Linked DNA regions of Cricetulus griseus. The protein of the gene in region 1 purifies or fractionates together with the protein of each later gene. This does not show direct contact. Links are inferred from orthologs where the notes say so. Each region holds a gene or a part of one and is shown in the gene's direction. Other genes may lie near its edges.

Evidence for each region.
Region 2: the proteins of Lsm6 (region 1) and squamous cell carcinoma antigen recognized by T-cells 3 purify together in Homo sapiens (affinity purification with mass spectrometry; 4 studies listed by BioGRID and IntAct, counting the BioPlex papers as one, with this or other methods). This does not show direct contact. The link is inferred for Cricetulus griseus from reciprocal best matches to the Homo sapiens genes LSM6 and SART3.

Annotation. Positions count from the first base shown.
Region 1 is NC_048596.1:154,693,536-154,697,940, reverse strand, and holds the start of Lsm6 (U6 snRNA-associated Sm-like protein LSm6), read left to right. Parts: upstream 1-1,329; 5' UTR 1,330-1,467; intron 1,468-1,870; exon of another isoform or gene 1,871-1,889; intron 1,890-2,729; exon of another isoform or gene 2,730-2,799; intron 2,800-4,405. UniProt on the Homo sapiens protein: Plays a role in pre-mRNA splicing as component of the U4/U6-U5 tri-snRNP complex that is involved in spliceosome assembly, and as component of the precatalytic spliceosome (spliceosome B complex).
Region 2 is NC_048597.1:93,410,828-93,414,638, reverse strand, and holds part of squamous cell carcinoma antigen recognized by T-cells 3, read left to right. Parts: intron 1-1,938; coding exon 1,939-2,065; intron 2,066-3,201; coding exon 3,202-3,306; intron 3,307-3,811. UniProt on the Homo sapiens protein: U6 snRNP-binding protein that functions as a recycling factor of the splicing machinery. Promotes the initial reassembly of U4 and U6 snRNPs following their ejection from the spliceosome during its maturation.

The DNA of each region.
Region 1 (4,405 bases):
ATGTAATGTATATTTGATAATTAAAGCAATCAGTGAGGAACACAGTACAATTCTTTTGAGATAAGGTTTCAAATAGCCCAGCTGATCTCAAACTCATTTTGTAGCCTCAAATGAGCTTGGATTTCTGATCCTCCTGAAGCCACACTTGGGTGTGCACTGCTGTGCCCACCACTGTGGTGCCAGAGATGTTAATGCACACCAGGCATGCCATCAACTGAGCCAAATCCTCAGCTTCCAGTTTGATTTACAAAGCAGCCTGTTTTAGGGACAGGGCATAGCACTTTTCTTCTCTGCAGACAGTTATTTGATTTAAATGTGACTTTACTTGTGTTCTTAATTTTATATTTTACATTTCAAGAGCCTAAAATGCTGTCTTATCAATGTCTGTAGTTGACGGTCTTCGAGTCAGCTGAGGTTTTACAGAGGATAGAAAGATATGGCTGTTCCTTACCAAATCTCAGCCAGTTCTCTGTCTGTGGCACCAGTCACTGGTCTGTTTCTTTCGCCATTCACTAAGAGGCTCTTAGGAAAGGAGGAACCACTTTCTGTCTCAGGAAAAAGTTCTGCATTGTAGGACCTGTAAGATCTAACAGGGTGTGTAGCTGTTGTTTGAAGGTCTTATAACTGTGTTGATGATTAAACATCAGAAACAATTAAAATATAAATCTTAAATACAATATAAAAGAGAAATTAAAATATAAATGTAAAATATAAATGAGAGCATGGGTGTAGAAAAAAAGGAATCAAGTCTTCCTGTAATCTCTTCCTTCCATAAACAGTCAGCATACACTAAGAATTCATGCATTATCCCCAACCAAGTTCCCCCACAGCACTTAAATGGTATCTGCATGCTGTTTCCAATTAAACTAATTTGTAATGTCTTTTTACAATTGGCGCCATTGTAATAGAGTTGCTTTAAATTATTTATATTTTTGTAGCAAAATTGCTATGGAAACAATCTCTAACAGTAACTTAAACTTCATACATTTAATTAATATTCAGAAGTCGGTTGGGAGCTTGAGGCTTTTAACTTTTATTTGCTTTAAATTATTTAAGGCTATTTGGGGTACTTAATAGCCTATTATTTTAATCGTAAGTTTCTGTTTCCTGTCATTTTTAAGGTATTCTTTACTGTATTGGAATCTCAAAAGATTACTTCTAAATTTTTTTTCTTGGTTGTTTTGCTTTTGATTCGATTTTCTGGCAAAAAAAAAAAAAAAAAGACGGCAACATCAGAACACCGGCATTTACTTCAGCCCCTGGATGCTGAATTCACCACTGAAGAAACCAATTCTTGGAAGTGAGCGTTATGGAACGGCCTGATCCTTTTGGTCCCCGCGGGCTGCCGTAGGCAAGGAGGCCGCTGATTGGGTGAGGCAGCGAAGCGCGCTGCCGGGGGCGGTTTCGGTTTTCGCCGCGCGCGTCCGCGGAGGCCCGGCCTGTGAGGGCTCCGGATCCGGCTGCGAGGTGAGCCCGCGCGCGGCCCGGGAGGGAGGGGCGGTGGGGCGGGTGGGTGCTTGGAGCGGAGCGGTCGGCCTAGGCCGCGGAGGGCCGGGGCGGGCGGGGTTGCGGCTGGAGCCCAGGCCGGCCTGCGAGCAGCGGAAGGCCGTCAGGGCCACGCGGCCTCGCGCTCCCGCGCCGTGCGGTCCTGCCGTGCGCGCGCCGGGCGCCGGCTGTGTCAGCCCGGGTTAGGCGGCCGCCGCTCCCGCGCCCCCCTCCTCCGTGCGCGCTCGAGTCCCTCCACACGAGGACACGAGGAGCCGGGGAAAGGATCCCTGCTGGGCGCTTCCGTCTGCCCACTCCTCTCCTCCTGTGTGTGCCTGCTTCTCTTTCCGCTAGTACTACCAGAAATACTCGGTCTTCTGTCTACGTTAAACACATGCAGCCAGGTGTAACTTTAACATTCATTGCTTTTGTTTTGTCATTGCCTGGGTCCCATAAGTGACTCCGGTGTTTCCCCGATGGCTTCATCTTAGCGTCCATGCGATCCTGGGATGCACTTCCCGCCCTTGACTCTATTTCTCACCATCTCCTTGGACAAGTTCTCAGAGGAGAAGTCATTGGGTTAGATAGTTCTTGCACGTTGCCGGGTTGGTTCTCTTTAAAGTGTTAGTAAATTACCTCGTTCGTGTGTGACACCGGTTCTTTCACCAAATCCGTGAACACGCCTCCTGTGTTTCTAACAGTAGCAGAGTACAGCCTCTCTTTGGAATCGTTACTGATCTCGTTTAAACTTGCACGGAGTTTCTCAGTCTGGCCTTGAACTTTGGATCTTCCAGCAGTTGTGGTTCCGGGGTTACTTCAGGCATTGTTATTTTTTATTGTAATGCCTGTCGTTCTGCCATCAAGGTTTTCCTGCCGAATCTTCGTAGGAGGGGCAGGGAGAGAGAGAGAGCTGGTATTAACTGTGTGTGTTGGTATTACTGCACAACTTAACCACGTGCTTACTGGTATTCTCTCTCTCTCTCTCTCTCTCCCTCCCTCCCTCCCTCCTCCCTCCCTTCCTGTCTCTCCCCTCCTCCTCCCCCGTGTGTGTGTGTGTGTGTGTGTTGTGTGTGTGTGTGTGTGTTGTGTGTGTGTGTGTGTGTGTGTGTGTGTGTGTGTGTGTGTGTGTGCGGTGTGTGTTGGTATTAACTGTGTGTGTGTTGGTATTACTGCACAAGTTAACCAGATGCTGGAACAGAAAGACATAGTCAGTAACCATCTAGCATAACTCCCTTATTTTTCAGATGAGCCTGGGGCCATGAGAGGTGAGATGGGTAGCAGAGGAGATTAGAATACAGGTTACCTGCCTCCCAAGTGAGTACCCTTAACTACTGCATCAGGTCTTCTCTCACTGAAGGGTGGCCTAATAGAATTTTTTTTATTTGATTTTTTTTTTAATTCCCTGGCTTGCTTTCTCCTTTTATAATGAAGGACTGGAAAATAGAAAAGTCACTTTTTTTGTGTGTCCAGAACTAGAAATTTATTAGAATGCCAACCCATTCAAGATTTTAATGGTTGTTTTCAGGTTCTCAGTGTTGGGATAAAATACTCCTGATAAGTAAGACAGTTGTCCCTCAGTATCTGAGAGGGACTGGGTACAGAGCTCCCAATATTAAAAAGTGCATGGATATTCAAAGTTCCATATGTGTGTTTGCATATAACCTATGCAGTCTTCCTATGTTGTTCACATCATCTCTAGATCACTCACAATGTGTAATAGGATGTAAATGGTTGCAATGGAATATTGCTTAGGGAGTAATGACAAGGGAAAAGCCCTTTAGCTCTGTAACAGGTAAAACCATTGGAGCTGTAATTGCAACTTCATGTTACTAGATGTTGGCTGGATACACAGATAAGGAGAGGTGACTAGTTTATGTACTCATCATCTGGTTCTCATTTACATCTTGATTATTCTAAAGTACCTTGCTTGTTGTTTAAACCAGAAAATAAGGTTTGAAGAGGAGGGGAGGAGGTGGTAGTGGCAGTCATTCTGTGAGTTGACACGTTGCATCATATAGTCCTTTGTTGTAAAGGACTAGACTCTACACCAGTGGTTCGCAGCCTGTGGGCCGAGTCCATGAAAGACCCTTTCATGGAGATCACATAGCAGATATTTACATATGATTCATAACAGTAGCAAAATTACATTTATGAAGTAGCAATGAAAATAATTTTATGGTTGGGGTCACCACACATGAGGAATTATATTAAAGGGTTGCAGCATTAGGAGGGTTGAGAACCACTGCTCTACACTGTAGACTGTTGAGGGATGTCCTTGGCTTCTCTTCACTAGAGTCTGATTCCCGCTTTGACAATACATAATGTCTGTAGACATTTCCAAATGTTCCTAGAGGGTGGGGCACAAAAATCACCTTTGGTTGAGAACAACTTGCTCTTAGGAATTACCGTAGGCAACTTGATGTCAAAGTGCTTATGGTCAAGCCTGGCAACCCGAACTCAATTGCTGAACCCCACTTAGTGTAAAGAGAGAACAGACTCCCAAAAGTTATCCTGTGGCATATGCTTATTGCCCCTGCCCCACTAAATAAAACAAATGAATAAAAGCAATAAAAACAAAAAGCAAAGGACAGCCTTTTGGCTGAGTTAGCTACAGCAATCTGTGTCTGAACAGGCATCTTTGTAGATGTGGGTGTCTTGCCTTCTAAGCAAGTGCCCCTGCTTTCCTTTCTTGTATCACCTACTGGTCATTCATGAAGGTCTTACTGACTAGCAGGGTTAGAGTAGCTGGACCTGTGGTGTGTAGGTTGCTGAGGAGGGATTGGGACAGGGCTTTTGTTTGACACTGGCTTTGAATGCTTCTTCTACAGGCTTGCTCAGTCTGTTTAGGTGCCAAGGCTACCTGTCCCCTTAAAGTTTAAAAAATCTCTGTAGGAGACTGGATCTGATATGCTTAGCATAT
Region 2 (3,811 bases), on another chromosome or scaffold:
TGTCCGATTGTCCTCAGAAAAGTGTTTTGTCTTTTTTCCTTTCCTTTTTTTTTTTTTTTTTTTTTTTTTTTTTTTTTTTTTGAGATAGGATCTTTTATGTAGACACTGCTGACCTAGAACTTGCTGTATAGACCAGGCTGTCCTCAAACTCAGAGATTTGCCTACCTCTGCCTGAATGCTGGAATTAAAGACACATGCCACCACATATGAGCAATTATGCTCTCCTTGAAACAAGATTTTTCAAAGCAGCCAAGGCTGACCACGAACTCAGTCTTCCTACGTCTGCCCTTTCAGTGCTGGGGTTGCACCATGCCTGACTCTGTGTGGAGTGTCTTCACTGAACTGTCCTGGCTCCAGGCTGTGCTGCTTGAGTGTAGCCGTCTCTCCTTCCCATTCCCCCTTGCAGCTACTGTCTTGGGTCAGATGGTCTTAATGGTCTGTTTCTTCCTTACATGACTTAGAACCCTGAGGAGACGCCTCTCTGTGTGCTTACCAGTGCCTCTGTTCCTGTTCTTTCAGGGTGGATCTCCTAATGCTATTCTTTTTGTTGTTGTTGTTGTTGTTTTTTGAGACAGGGTTTCTCTGTGTAGCTTTGGAGCCTATCCTGGCACTCGCTCTGGAGACCAGGCTGGCCTTGAACTCACACACCTGCCTCGACCTCCCGAGTGCTGGGATTAAAGGCATGCGCCACCACCGCCCGGCCCTAATGCTATTCTTAAACTCGTCCTTTGTGTGGATGTGTAAGAGTTAAAAATATTTACAGCTTTTAGCTTGAGAAGTTTCAAATGTAAACCTATATACCTAGACAGAAGGCAGGCAGAAGGCCAGGACTGCACCAAGCAAGGTCTGTGTTCCAGAGTAGGAACACATGATTCTGGAGAGATGGCTCAGTGGTGAAGAGCAGTTAGCAGAGGACCAGAGCTCTCTTGGTTCCCAGCACACAAATGTGGTGGCTCACAACACCTGTAACTTCAACTGGGGGTGGCCTCTTAGGACAACTGATGTCACTTATCCCCATATAGACATAATTAAAGAAAATATTAAAAATAAAAACAATGAGCTGGGCGGTGGTGGCGCACGCTTTTAATCCTAGCACTCGGGAGGCACAGGCAGGTGGATCTCTGTGAGTTCGAGACCAACCTGGTCTACAAGAGCTAGTTCCAGGACAGTCTCCAAAGCCACAGAGAAACCCTGTCTCGAAAAACCAAAATAATAAATAAATAAATAAATAAATAAACAACAACAACAACAAAAAAAAACCAATGAGAAAACTATGAACATGGTAGTGTCAGTTAAGACTCAGCCCAGGCCTGGCGTTGGTGGCACAAACCTTTAATCCCAGCACTTGGGAAGCAGAGGCAGGTGGATCTTTGAGTTTGAGGCCAGCCTGATCTACATAGTGAGTTCCAAGACAGCCTCCAAAGCTACACAGAGAAACCCTATCTCAAAAAACAAAAAAGACAAAAGAAGACTGAGCCCAGGTGTCAGTGGCTGGAATGTTGTGCAAGTTACCTTGTTGTGCAGTTGTTTTGTAGGTGTGGGATGTGCGCCAGAGTTGGTTGCTACAGTCGTGCTATTTATTTATGGCTCCCACACCAGCCTCTTGCTGTCCTTACTTGTTCAGTGTCATGAAAGAATTCATATGGCACACCTGCAATGTCGAAGTGCCTATGCGTTCTGTGGGCTGGAGACTAGCAGTGCCCCAGATGGAAGCTGAGGCTGTGGAGGACACTGGTGACTTCCTAAGGGTGGTACTGTCTCAGTAGAGAGGGCCCAAGGGGAGGGAGCTTCCTGTTAGGATAAGAACACCTCTCACTTCTGTGTGACGGGGCTGGTGCCGCTTAGCTCACTCAGTGGCCTCCCAGGCTAACATCAGGTCTGTTTGGGACAGATGTGTCTGTTGTTACCAGAGGTGACAAATGCTAACTTTCTTCTTAGCTGTCCATCAACGGCTATGACTACAACTGCCATGTGGAGCTGATCAGGCTGCTGCGGCTGGAAGGGGAGCTCAACAAAGTGAGGATGGCCCGACAGAAGATGAGCGAGCTCTTCCCCTTGACTGAAGGTAACGCTGCCCCGGGGGTGGGGGTGAGGGGCTGCTTTTGGTTCAGAGAGCTGAGGTGAAGGAGATAAAGGAAGCCAGCTGCTTCTCATTTCATTGCCTTAGACAGTGTTCTGTGCTGCAGATTCACATGTGGAACATTATGAGAAACAGTTTCTTTAACGTAATTTAACTTCACTGTGGTCACTGTCCCATTCCACAGATGTGTACTTAGCCTATGCTCATAGTGCTATGGAATTGTAAATTTAGGTAAACATTTATAGTTTTAAAATCTCTTTTTAAAAATCTTTATGTGTATGGGTGTTTTTGCCTGCATATATGTGTATGTGCACCAGGTGGCCAGAAGAGGGAGCCAGATGCCCTGGAACTGGAGTTCTAGACAGTTGTGAGCCACTGTGTGGGTGCTGGGAATCAAACCTGGGTCCTGTGGAAGAGCATCCAGTGCTCTTAACCACTGAGCCATCTTTACAGACTCTAAACTGAAATAGTTTTAAATGCAGTTGTTTCATTTTGGTACAGTAATTGTACATTTTGTTTACTTCCACGCATTTGCTTCTGAGAAATATACTTGTAGGAATTGGCTCTGTGACTGGGTCTTTTTTTTTTGTTTTTTTTGAGACAGGGTTTCTCTGTGGCTTTGGAGGCTGGAACTCACTCTTGTAGACCAGGCTAGTCTCGGAACTCACAGAGATCCACCTGCCTCTGCCTCCCGAGTGCTGGGATTAAAGGCATGTGCTACCACCACCGACTGTGGCTGGGTCTTGCTTCGTATTTGTAACTGGCCTTTCAGCTCAGAAACCCTGGCCTTGGGTGTGTCTCTGTTCCATCTTCCTTTCACAAAGCCCAGCTCAGGTGGAGCTGCTGAGAGAGACCACATTGCACATGTCTAATGAGGCTTCTCACTAGCAGACTAAGCAGATCATGGCAACAGTGGAGACTCAGTTTCCCACAGTCAACTAAAGGTAGCAGTAGTTCTTGCCTGATACATGACAGAGTAGGATCCATTTCTTGGGACAGGTGTGTCACATACCAACTGGCTCTGAGTCGTCAGATACAGGTTATCACTCTTTTAAGAACTGGATCTCTGGGAACCTTGGGAGCATGTGAAGGCGTGTGCTGAGGTGTGCTGTCATCTCTAGAGCTCTGGCTGGAGTGGCTGCATGATGAGATCAGCATGGCCATGGACGGCCTGGACCGAGAACACGTGTATGAACTCTTCGAGAGAGCCGTGAAGGACTACATCTGTGAGTGCCCGGGCCCTGGGGTGCTGGTTGCGCCAAATCTTTACTGCCTTATGATGCATTGTGAGTTGTTGCCAGGAAGTTGGACTTTGTTTTCTTTGTGCTGTCTTAGTGCTGAATAGAGATTATTTGGGCTTAAGACAAAAGTGGAGAAATATTCGTAGGAAGAGAGTAAATTAAATGCCTCACTCAGCATCTGTCTGTCAGGGAGGACTTACACAGGATTTCTAGGCACTTAAAGTTTAGCATGTATCTCTTGATTGAAACAGACTCACTCTGTAGCCCAGGCTAGACTTCAGTTTGTGACCCTCCTGATTCCACCGCCTGAGTTCTGGGACTAAGGCATGAATGTCTGTCCCTGTGTGTCCATTTTGTTGCTATTGCTTTGAGACAAGGTCTCATCATATAGTTCAGGCTGGCTCTGCTTCAGCTTCCCAACGTGGTGTACAGGTGTGTGTCACCACACCCATGCACATGTCATCATGAGTTCCAAGCCAGCCTGGGCTAC